Linked DNA regions of Canis lupus familiaris. The protein of the gene in region 2 interacts with the protein of the main gene of each other region in a pairwise test. Links are inferred from orthologs where the notes say so. Each region holds a gene or a part of one and is shown on either strand. Other genes may lie near its edges.

Region 1 (6,173 bases), on a different chromosome or scaffold from region 2:
GTGTCTCTTTTACCTACTCAGCTCTGCTGTTATGGTTGATATAAAAGCAGCCACCAGCTATATGTAAATGAATGAGCAAAGCAGTATTCCAGCAGAACTTCATCTGTGGGGTCTGAAATGTGACTCTCATAATAATTTTCACTTGCCACAAAATAGTCTTTTGATTTTTTTCGACCATTTAAAAATGTAAATACCATTCATAGCTTACAGCCATACAAAAGCAGATGGCTGGCTAGATTTTTCCTGGAAGCCAGTTTGCCAACCACTTAATCAACAGAAGTGTTAAAGCTAACAAACCAGGGACTTTTGGCTGGCTCAGTCAGTAGAGCGTGCGACTCTTGATCTTGGGGTTATGAGTTCGAGCCCCATGTTAGGTGCAGAGATTACTTAAAAACACCTTAAGGGGCGCCTGGGTAGCTTAGTTAAGTGTCTGACTCTTGATTTTGGATCAGGTCATGATCTTTAGGGTTGTGAGATCACGCCCTGCATGGGATTCCATACTGGGAGTCGGCTTGAGATTCTCTCTCCCTTTCCCACTGACCCTCCCCCACAAAATAAATAAAATTTAAAAATAAAATCTTTAAATAAATACATAAAGCTAATGAACCAACAAAAGAATACAATGGGGGATCCCTGGGTGGTTCAGTGGTTTAGCGCCTGCCTTCAGCCCAGGGCGTGATCCTGGAGTCCCCGGATCGAGTCCCACATCGGGCTCCCTGCATGGAGCCTGCTTCTCCCTCTGCCTGTGTCTCTGCCTCTCTCTCTCTCTCTCTCTCTCTCTCTCTCTCTCTCTCTCTCTCTCCGTGTCTCTCATGAATAAATAAATAAAATCTTTAAAAAAAAAAAAAGAATAGGGATCCCTGGGTGGCGCAGCGGTTTGGCGCCTGCCTTTGGCCCAGGGCGCGATCCTGGAGACCCGGGATCGGATCCCACGTCGGGCTCCCGGTGCACGGAGCCTGCTTCTCCCTCTGCCTGTGTCTCTGAGCCTCTCTCTCTCTCTCTCTGTGACTATCATGAATAAATAAATAAAAATCTTTAAAAAAAAAAAAAAAAAAGAATACAACGGGACAAGGTTTACAGGTTCCAAAAGAAGGCAGAAAAAGAAGAAAAGGTAAACAAAGGAGATGTATTAAGTAGAAAATTAGCAAAAGGATGATAAACATAACTGTATCAATAACTAAATGTAAATGGTCTAAACATTCCAATTAAAAGGCAGAAATTGTCAGACTGAACAAAAAAGCAAAACCCAACTATATATGCTTCCTACAAGTAATACCCTTTAAATATAGGTATTAAAAGATAGGTTAAAATAAAAGGGTGGAAAAAGATATACTGTGCTAACACCAGTCAGTCAAAAGAAAGCAGGAGTGAGTTGTGTTTTTTTAAGATTTTATTTATTCATGACAGACTCACAGAGAGAGAGAGAGAGAGAGAGAGAGAGAGAGGCAGAGACACAGGCAGAGGGAGACGCAGGCTCCATGCAGGGAGCCTGATGTGGGACTCGATCCCGGATCTCCAGGATCATGCCCTGGCTGAAGGCGGCACTAAACTGCTGGGCCACCGGGGCTGCCCAGGAGTGAATATTTTAATATCATACTAGACTTTAGAGCAAGAAATATTACCAAGTATCGAGAAGGTTATTTTGTAATGATTAAGAGGTCAACTAAGCAAAAGAACATAATAATTCTACATATCCATGCCCTAATAACAGAGCATCAAATTACACAAAGCAAAACCTGACAGAACAAGAGACAAATCCATAATGACTGCTGGAGATTTCAATGCCCCCTCCTCAATAATTGATAGAACAAGGAGACAGAAACCATTAGTAAGGATATATAAAATGATAAACCAATAGGACCACTAATTGACTTTTAGAGAACCCTACACCCAACAACAGCAGAATATTCACTCTTTTCAAGTGCACGCATAATGTGTGGCACCATAAAACAATTCTCAATAAATTTACGAGGATCCAAGTCATACAAAGTATGTTCTCAGTCTACAAGGGAATTAAATTAAAAATCAATAAAAGAGAGACATTTGGAAAACTTTCCAAATATCTGGAAACTAAATAACATATTTATTTTTTTAAAAAGATTTATTTAGGGGCATCAGGGTGGCACAGTGGGTTGGATGACCAACTCTTGGCTTCAGCTCAGGCCCTGATCTCAGGGTCATGGGATCACGCCCTGCTCCCAACAGAGCCTGCTTGGGTTTCTCTCTCCCTCTCCCTCTGCCCCCTACCCCTTTTTAAAAGATTTATTTATTTATTTATTTTAGAGAGAGCATAAGCAGGAAGGGCAGAGGGAGAAAGAGAGAGAATTCCAAGCAGATGCCACACTTGAGCACAGAGCCCAATGGGAGGCTCATCCCAGGACCCTGAGATCACAACCTGAGCTCAACCAACTGAGCCACCCAGGCGCCCTAAATAACATATTTTTAAATAATCCACTGGCCAAAGAAGAAATCAAAAGAGAAATTACAAAGTATCTTGAATTAAATGAACATGAAAACACAACATATCAGAATTTGTGAGAGACTGCTAAAGTACTGCTGCTGGAAATTTATACCATGAAACACCAATGTTAGAGAAGAAAGGTCTCAAATGAATGATCTCAGCTGCCACCTTAAGAAACTTTAAAAAAAGAGAGAAAGAAAGAAAAAAAAAAATTAGACCCAAAGTAAGCCGAAGAGGGCAATAATGAAAATCAAAACAGAGATCAATGAAATAGAAAGCAAAAAACCAATAAAGAAAACTAATGAAACCTCAGCAGGGGTCTTTGGAAAGAACAATATTTCCTGCACGCCTCTTATGGGTCAAGCCCTGTTTAGTCACCATGACTGGATGAGTAGACACAAATACACAAAAAAACCCCAGGACAATCCCTCACCGCCCTTTACAATTCTGGTTCCTTCTGCCTGGAGAGTTCTCCCCCAGATACTCTACGGATCTCGTTTTCCTGCTTTATTTTTCCCCCAAAGAACTTATTACCTTCAGATACACTATTTTTCTGCCTTTCCTTTATACTGTTTTTCGTTTTTCTTTGTTTCTTCTTTTCCTTTCTCTTCTTTCTCACTTTGCGTCTGTGTCTTAGTTTCTTTTGTTCCTTCTCTCTCCTCTTTCCCTCCCTCCCTTCCTTCCTGTCTTTCTGTCAGCCTGTCTGTCCTTTTGTCTGTCTACATACGCACCTTAGAATGTAAACTCCACAAGAGCGGAAATTTTTGTCTGTTTTCCTCACTGCTTTATCGCAGCACCTAAACCAGTGCCTGGAACGTGGTGGTGTTCAGCAAATACTTAACAGGCATCAATCCCTGCTATCATGGAGCTTACGTTTTCCCTTTGGATGTAAGATCTGAAGATCGGTGCTCAGAAGGTAGAATGTTAAGAATCAAGGTCATGTATTAATTTTGGAAATCTAAGTTCAAGGCGCATCCATCAGGAGGCTAAGGATCAAGGATCCTATTTGGAGGTAGGAGGTGAGGAGGAGCCTGTCTGGACCACAACTCTAACAAAGGTCTCCGGACTTGGGTCGGGAAGATCAAAACCAGTTTGGGGATCAATGGATAGGGATGTGGAGCAATATGAAGCAGAGCTCAAGAAAGGAAAGTCGGAGAAATTAAGGAGTTAGGGTCAAAGTTGGCTAGGAAATTGGTTTTACTAAAGGTTAGGAGTTACAAATCAGAAAGTCGAGCATCAGAAGTTAGATTTAAGAGTGAAAGGTTAGGGAGCCGGGATAGGAGACTAATAGGGAATCAGAGGTGGGATCCTAGGGCCCCGTTAGGCAGCCTAAGGTTCACTCACGTGTCCCCATCCTCAGTGACGTAGCCAAAGACGAGGGGCGCCCACGACAACCCCGGGCCCAGCTCGGCGCCCAGCCCCGGTCCTCCGGGGGCTGCTGCGTCGGGACCCAGAGAGCCCAGGCCGCTGTCGCACCATTCGTCGGCCTCCGCAGCTTTCCCCAAGCACGCGACCCCGGCCATGGCCCCCGAAGCCTCAGGGGCCCCAGCGGCCGCCCGCCTGTAGCTGGCTTTGCCTGAAGCCCCGGCGCTTCCGCCCTGCGGGGAATTCCCCAACACTCCCCCTTGGCTCACCCAATCAGAATGACCTAAAGAGCACACGCCCCGCCCCCTTACCACACAGTGACCATTCAGAGTATTCAGACGGACTGCGGCTCTCTACCCATTCCCACAGTTTCCGGCCGCCCTTTACCAACATGGCTGCCTGCGCGGAGCCCTCTGGGACTCGTAGTCTCGCCGTCCGTGTCTTCCTAGCCCGAGAGCGGCAGGCGCCGCTGGACGAAAAGCCTGTATGCATCCTCGATGACTGCTGGGAGTCGTAGTTCTCTGCCCTGTCTCTGCCCCTCCTGTTTCCGGTGCCGTCACGGGACAGAGCAGTCGGTGACAGCCCCGAGGGCCCCCGCCCCGCGCCCATGGCCGAGCCGGACCGTGAGTCGGGGGCCCCGGTGGGAGGGTCGGGTCGCACCGGGGCCTGGCTGAGGGCTGCAGGCCCCGGGGCCCGAGGACCGGCGTGGTGGGGCTGGAGACGGGGGCTGCATGGCGGCCAGTGGGAATCGGGGCGGGGGTGGGGGGTCGTTGCTAAGTGATCCATCTTGCCAGGCTGGTGGGTTTCTGGGTCGCGAGATTGTAAGGGTCCTTTGCTACGTCCCCTAAGTTACTAATGACCGCGTGTTTCTCGCACCTCGGTTGCTGAGGACCCTCGTTGCTAAGGACTTAGATTGCCGCGGCCCCGGTTGCTAAGGGTACCTGGTTGTTAGGGGGAACTGTAGGATGCTCGGGGACCCCTGGCGCCCCCTCCTGTCTCGTCCCTCTAGTTCCTGTGCCCCTCCTAAACGTGCTGTCTCCACTGCACCTCCTTTCCTAAACCTGTCTCTGCTAAGCGTATTTTGTTTTCTCTCTTCCTTTTTTAAACTTCCCTCTGTTTGTAAACCCTAACCCTCCCTGCACACACACGTGCTCACACACACACTCACTACTGTTTGCTTCCTCACTTCTAAGTCTTCCTCCATGCCTGTATGCTTTACTTTCTCCTCCCTCTCCCAAACCTTCCTGCCCCAGCCTCTGTCTGTCACTAACCACTTCTCCAGACAGCACTGTCTATCCTAATAAGATCTGCTTTTCCCCATCCCCTCCCTCCCTCTGCTCAGCTTTTACCACCACCTCCCACCCCAGTATAATTAGGTTGGTGGGTCTTCTTGCCCCTTGCCCCTCTGCTTTGAAGCCCTTCATCCCCACTTAACTGTGCCCCGCACTGTAACCACGTCTGCTCCCCCTCCTCCCCCAGCCTCTGACCCTCTGGAGACCCAGGCAGGGAAGGTGCAGGAGGCTCAGGTGAGATTTGGGGAAGGGTGGAGGGAAGGAGAGAAATGGACGTGTTCCCACACCCCACACTCTGGGGGGGGTGGAGGTGGCAGAGGGGAGACAGTTACCCCAGGGCCCTCAGGGCATCACCCCAGCCCCTTGCCCCCACTCCTGGTTCGGCCCCCTGGGAATGGTGGATTCCGGGGACTGGCAGAAAAAGCTGTGCACCCTCAACTCCAGACCTGTCCTCCCTGACTTTTCTCTTTCCTTGCTCCCTACCCTTAACCTTTCTGAACCTCATTTATGCTGGGCATGGAAGAGACAGGCATCCAAGTTGGTCCTTGAACGCCCAGATCCCACAGACAAGTGACTAGAAATGACCCTCCAGAGTGATTATGAAAGTAGCTCAAGGCAGAGTAAACTTTGTGAGGGTCAACAGTTTCCAGCCGGTCCGTTCCCAGGGCAAATCCACAGGCCGGTCCAGGAGTCAGATTGAGGTACAGACACTTGACAGTAAGTGAAGAGTGACTTAGAATTTTCTTAGGCACAGTGAGAAATGGCGTTCCACGCAGAGTGTACAGCTTGTACCAGGACTGGGAGGGGGGCACGAAGGGTGTGATGTGGTCAATGGTCTGGTAGCTGTGGGTGGTTAGCTAATTATATTTGAGGTTAGCATTTATTGAGCCGGGTACTCCACCCAGTGCTCTGTGTACATCATAGCATTTCACCTTCCCAGAATCCCTGTGGTGGTGGTAGTTGGGGGGCAGTTCAAGGCCTACTGGGGCCATTTCACAGATGAGGAATCTGCAGCAGAGCTGTTCTGTAACTTGTCCTCTGGCCCCCCAGCTAGA
Region 2 (6,092 bases):
TGGTAGAAGAACCTGGAGAGGCCAGGGACAAGTCAGTCTCCCCACCTTCCCCAAGAAAGCAGACCCCTCACCAGGCTGACTGATGGCCCAGAGGCCATGCTGAGCCTTTCCTTTGGGCACTGACCTGTACTTGAGCAGGGCCGTCTGGGGGATCTGATAGTTGGTCATTGGTTTTCTGAAGGAATAAATCTTCTGAAGGATGAACTCTCGGATCTTCGTCACCGCCTGGACATGGGGGGAGGAAACAAACACAGGGCATGAAGCTGCAACCTTATGACTGTTATGGAAATGGTGGGGGGAGGGTCACATTTCAAATACAGGAGGATGGAGGTTGGAGAAGACCTCATCAGTATTTCTGAAAGTGTTCAGGGGAACCTAGAGATGTGAAGATGAGCTCTGCCAGTAAAGGCAGGGTGAAATTCTTGGGGATGGGCTACAGTGAGCGCTGCTGGGGAAACCCAGGTTGAAGGTGTCAGGGAGGCTGGTTCTAGTAATCTTGGGGGTATCATCCCCACCCCTCACCTTCACCCGTAGCCGGTCAAGTATGCCTCTGACATCAGCACAAGCCGCTGTGCCTCTAGCCTCCTGCTCTCGGACTGCAGCCGCCTTGGCATCCAGTTCCTGCAGCTGCTCCAGGAACCTAGGCTCTGTCACTGGTGCCTCCAGAATTGCCCTGGGTAGCAGGGACAGGTGGAAGGGGTTATAGGAGGGAGACCCAGACATCAGTAGGTCCCAAACTATATTCCTTACATCCAGCCTGTCACCTCTCCCTTCACACGCTAAGTCACATAGTCAGGATACGTGTACAAAGTCTCCTGTTCCTGGAACCTCCCCCAATCCCACGTCCATAAAGCCTTAAACCTCCCAACTAAACCTCCCAACTAAATGCCTGACTCTGGATATTCCTAATCTTTGATGCCTAAAGCATGCATCAAGGTTGAGTTGTCAACCACCCATCAGTTTCTGGAAGGTGCTTGAAGAGCTGAGGCCAGGAGACCCATGTGGTAGGTCATCCTAGACCATCTACCTGCTATAGACATTGTAACTCTTCAAAATGGCAACTTACATGATCAGAGCAGAGGGCACTATCAGACCATCGACAAGTTCCCCAAGTTTTCCCCGAACTGCCTGGCGGTTTCGAAGCCGAATATTCATGGCTCCTGACTGTTCCTGCAGTGTCCGGATCTCAGAGCTAATAGAGCTGAGGTCACTCTGAAAAGCTCCCAACATCTGCTCCATGCGCTGGGGGGAGGACAGAAGATGTTGTTGGAGCACCAAAGGGTTGGCAAGGGACAAATGGGCCACCTAAGTTTATTGGTAAAGTCTTCAGTATCAGTCCTCGAAGGTAGGTGATGAGGTAAGAAGTACCCAAAAGGTCACTGGCAAATAACATTAGTTATGGCAGTAGCAACAAAAAGGTCTGCTAAGGTCATCCTGAACGTGAATCTAACTATCCCCACCTGAGGATGATGACTTAAAGAACAACACCAGACCATGATCTGGTTCAGGGTTAAGAGGGATCACAGGTCATGGTTACTAACCTCAAGAACAGCATCGCAGGCTGTGATCTGGTTGTGGAGAGACGCTATGTTCTCACTCTCCTGGATATCTAATCCACAAAAAGTCAAGGGGCCTCACCATAAAGCTGGAGATTCTCAGACCTGTGGGACTATTCCCATTTTTCCCAGAGATGACAGAAACTGCCATGAGAAGATGTCAGCCCCTGCTGGGCTGCATGCACCATGCTCCGCAAAATCTCTATTTTAATAACATCACCCTTTTTCTCTACTGGAGGATACAATCTCGAATGGATTTCTGCTCAATCTGCTGTAGTTCCAGCTCAACCTGCTTTGAATAGTGACGGAGATCCACACCCTAGGGGAACATTAACACAACAGGTTAAGAGGAAGTGGCAGTGAAGAGACCCTAGAAAGAATCAATAAAGGACTAGAAGGTGAGACACCAGGGTGATGTTGTAAGAGTGAGAGACTGTCCTTTTTTTTCCTCTTTGAGGGGAGGGTAAGAGGAGGGATAAATCAGTACAGCAGAAAGCCTCACCGTTTTAAGAGCTTCCTTTACTAACTCATCCTCCAGATTTGCCTGAATGTGAACTGGAAATAGAAATTTATCATAAGGGTCCAGCTCCCGCAAACGAACATCTGTACACCATTCCCCACCTTATTACTTCCAGCACCATACCTCTTGGATCACAAGCAGTTTGCATCCACCTCATGCCATCACTTACCATCCACTTCATCCAGAATAAATTCATCAGAGGAGATGTCCAATTCTCCAAGTGGCAATGGCTCCTGAAGACCAGGGCCACCCCCCTGGAGAGGGACAAGTCAACAGGAAAGGGCACAGTAAGAGAGAGAGAGAGAACAAATATAACGGGATAATCCACAGACCTTCAAGGTTTGGGGAAGGTGGGGCTGGGCTGGGTTTTTATTGGGAAGCCATGGGCACTGGGTCAAAAAATTCCAAAAGTCTCACACTGTCCCCAATCTGCTATTTGGGGCTCCTAGGTAGGGAATATAACAAAAAGACTCAAAAGTCACCACAAGAGTAAAGGAGGAGTTGCAGAGGACAGGGCTAAACTTACAGCTGAGTGTAGGATCCCCAGACTCCTGCTATCTTAGGTGTTCTATCACAATCCCTGTGGGGATCACCTGCCCTTCTAGAAATGTCAGCTAACAGTGTTTACCTGCGGGCCAGGTGCCATTTTTCATACATTCATTCATCTAATCATAACCAACAATTTCTACGGTGAAGTCTTATCATTTCCTTCACCTTATACGTGGGGAAAGTATAACACAGAGAAACTGATTAACCCGCCCAACGACACACAGCGTGCAAGAGGCAAAGCTGGAATTAGAACCCAGGCGATCTGACCATAGTCACGTTCTTAACCTTTACACTATACTGCCGCTGTATTCTGCCCTCAGATCTGGAAGTTAACTGAAATTCTGCCACTGGCACCTGAGTCGGCCATTCTGACTCCAGGGCAGACTCAGACCCGACTCCAAGGACGGATACGGAAAAACACACAGGGAGCATCACCGTTAACAGCCGCTCGCCCACTCTTCTGCCTAAACCCAGCCCAGGCCCTTCTGACGCGAGGACCCCCGGACAAGACTCCGGAGAGAAAGAGCCCCACGTCCGCACCAGCGGGCCCTCCTCCTCCTCCATATCCGAGGTCCCGGCTCTCAGCAGCAGCTCTCGCGCAGCCGCCGCCATGGTCGCAGCAGCTGCCATTCTGCGTAGCCTCACTTCCGGCAGCTGTCCAGTCGCCGTAGGTCCGTCCCTGGGGTGGACCTACAAATCCTAGAGGGTCTTGCAGAGAGCGAAATCGTTCCCAGATATTTGAATTAAGTTGTTGGACTCCAGCCTTCCCCTTTCAGCCCTAACCACTTGACCCAACTGCAAATGGGAACTGGATATCTGAAGCACAATCGCACCCCGGAACCTTTGCTGCTCTCCCTCTTAAGGACTTTACGAACATGTAAAGAGAGGCCGCACCGGAAGTTCTGGTAAAGAAGAGAGATTCTCATAGTTGAATTAGTTCTGGCACCAGCGGCTTCCGGAAGCGCTCCTGCGTGATCGCTCCGCCTCTTCCGCTGATAGCTATATAAGCCTAGTATGTCACTTCCGTTCTCTCTTCCACGGGAGGCCCGCACGCCGCTGCAGAGGCTGCTGCCATGGTAAGAGTGGATTTCGTGCGGGGATCCGGCGACATCGGAACCGGGACACGGAAAGTCTGCTGTTAGGGATCAGAAAACGCCCTGTTTTAGGGGTTAGCAACTTTCTGTGTGAATCTTTGGAGCGCACCCCTGGGAAGGAATGACTGAGGACTTCCAGTTCTGTGGAGTAGGCCAGAGGAAGAGTCACTCGAAACCGGCGAAAAGGCTTGGGCGTGAATGGGGACCTGAGGTCTCCGCCTCTCAGTGTACTTTTGGGAACGGGCAGAAGACTTGCCCCCTCCCAGAGGTTGCGTTTTCCCGAGCTTGAACACTTAAGGTTTTGCGAGCGGGACTGAAGGGGGGAGGGTTGTTGCTCCCGGTGTGACAACCCGGACGTTCCTCTTGACGTTACTGTTTGATGGTGGTTGACGGTGTCCTGTTTCTCCCCCTGTCTCTGCCAGTCTCTAGTGATCCCTGAGAAGTTCCAGCACATTTTGCGAGTACTTAACACCAATATCGATGGGCGGCGGAAAATAGCCTTTGCCATCACAGCAATTAAGGTAAGGTAGGGTAAGGAACGGAGCCTGTAAATGAGACAGGATAGCTGTAAGTGAGGAAGGGTCCAGGAGACATGTCCCAACCAGATCACCTTAGCTGCTGGGTAAACTAAAGAACGGTTAAAAGAGTGACTAGTCCTCTGGTCTCTTACATCATTTCCACCAAAAGGTAAGTAATGAAAGCCAGAGAAGAGTCGCACATCAAGCCAAGATACTCTAGATGGGGAGTGGGTTCCCTCGGCTTCTAGAATTCACTAAAAGTTTGTTGGACCGTCACCTGTTGTCATCCTGTGAAGTTCGTTCTAGGTTTGGTTTCTGCTTCTGCTCCCCACTGCAGAGCATCGTGACAGCTACCCTTCCTGTGATCTACATGCCCTAGAAATTTTGTAATCATACATGGTGGGTAGTCGAAATGCCAACAGACTGCCAAGTGTGAAGAAACCTATAGTTAGGAAGTGGGAGGAGTATCATTACATCGTGAACAGTATTTATTCCAATGTCAGAGGTGAATACAATGCATTTCCCCTTTCTACCTCATAGGAACCATCGGTATTTGGCTCATATTATGCCTTAGGTCGGTGAGCATAAGTTTGGGTGTTTTCTTTCACTGACCTAATGAACTGGCCTTCCAGTTGGGGTCATTCCATCATTTTGTTTTGTTTTTGTTAGTATATGTAATTGTGGATATGGTTGAATGTGGTTTTGCCAGTGTGTGGACACCGTGGGAGCAGGGATAGACAGGGATAGAACTGAACAAAACGGGGTAGTCCTATTTTGTTCACAGTTCCCAGCTCCTGGTGCATAATAGGTGCTCATGAAATGTTAGAAATGGATCCAGGGATGCTGTAGCCTGGTTTCAAAGAATTTAAAGGAAACATAAGTATTAGGTAACTTGACCAATCAAAGCTATATGTTCTAGCTTTGGTTCATAAGATTGATTAGATTTCTTTGGTTCTTTTGTTTTATTGCAGGATGTACAATTTTCACTTGTTCTTAAATGGTAAATAAGAAGATTGCTTTTTTCTGTTTTTTTGAAACTAGTAAGGCAATATAAAATATACTAGTACTTTTAAAGATTGCTATGAGGCTTAAATGGGATAGTGAATAGACCTGCATATCACAGGTCTATATTGTAGGTTCAGTTCTAGGCAATAAAGTGGGTCAAATATTTTGGTTTCCCAGTGCATATGCAAGTTATATTTACTCTAATCAGTATTTCAGTATTGAATGTGTAGTAATGCATTATGTCTTTTAAAAGCACATGCTTTAATTTAAAAATACTTTATTGCTAAAAAATGCATATCATTGTGAGCTTTCGAGGAGCCATGATCACAAGTCACTATAACATAAAATAATTAAAAGGTTTGAAATAACGTGAGAATTACCAGAGTGCCATGAGCACATAGTGAGCAAATGCTGTTGGAAAAATGGCACTGAGACTTGACACAGGATTTGCCGCAAGCCTTCAGTTTGTAAACAAAACCAGGGTATCTGCACAGCGTCCTTAAACAAGGTGTACCTGTATTGAAGATGGTTGCAGTTAGTGGGATGCTTGTGTTAAACCCTTTCTCTTTGTTTCTGAAAATTAATTGGATTTGTATTTACTTTCATTAAATATGTCATAGCCTTTGTAATCCACTTAAAACAATTTAACCAAAGGACTTTAAGGTACTTTATGAACTTTGTAATAAGTCTCTTAGGGATCCCGATGCTTATCACTGGGAAAGGTTATCCCTAGAGATAGATTATACAGAGATTATTGCTGATTGTGTGGAGAGCCAGCAAATTGAGGTAGCTCTTCCTCTGATGATAGAACTGAAGCTTGAACAGGAGGGGGTCTTTTTTTGTTGTTGTT

Evidence for each region.
Region 1: the proteins of VPS52 (region 2) and NFKBIB interact in binary tests that used the Homo sapiens proteins (3 or more experiments, as listed by UniProt). The two-hybrid records come from large-scale screens. The link is inferred for Canis lupus familiaris from reciprocal best matches to the Homo sapiens genes VPS52 and NFKBIB.

The regions. Positions count from the first base shown.
Region 1 is NC_049222.1:114,999,819-115,005,991, forward strand, and holds the start of NFKBIB (NF-kappa-B inhibitor beta), read right to left. Parts: upstream 4,070-6,173; 5' UTR 3,985-4,069; coding exon 3,806-3,984; intron 1-3,805. Other genes in the region: SIRT2 (NAD-dependent protein deacetylase sirtuin-2), read left to right, coding at 4,324-4,449. UniProt on the Homo sapiens protein: Inhibits NF-kappa-B by complexing with and trapping it in the cytoplasm.
Region 2 is NC_049233.1:2,864,373-2,870,464, forward strand, and holds the start of VPS52 (vacuolar protein sorting-associated protein 52 homolog), read right to left. Parts: upstream 3,528-6,092; 5' UTR 3,256-3,527; coding exon 3,166-3,255; intron 2,331-3,165; coding exon 2,246-2,330; intron 2,112-2,245; coding exon 2,059-2,111; intron 1,876-2,058; coding exon 1,800-1,875; intron 1,610-1,799; coding exon 1,542-1,609; intron 1,243-1,541; coding exon 1,067-1,242; intron 674-1,066; coding exon 523-673; intron 226-522; coding exon 125-225; intron 13-124; coding exon 1-12. Other genes in the region: RPS18 (40S ribosomal protein S18), read left to right, coding at 3,699-3,701, 4,142-4,240. UniProt on the Homo sapiens protein: Acts as a component of the GARP complex that is involved in retrograde transport from early and late endosomes to the trans-Golgi network (TGN).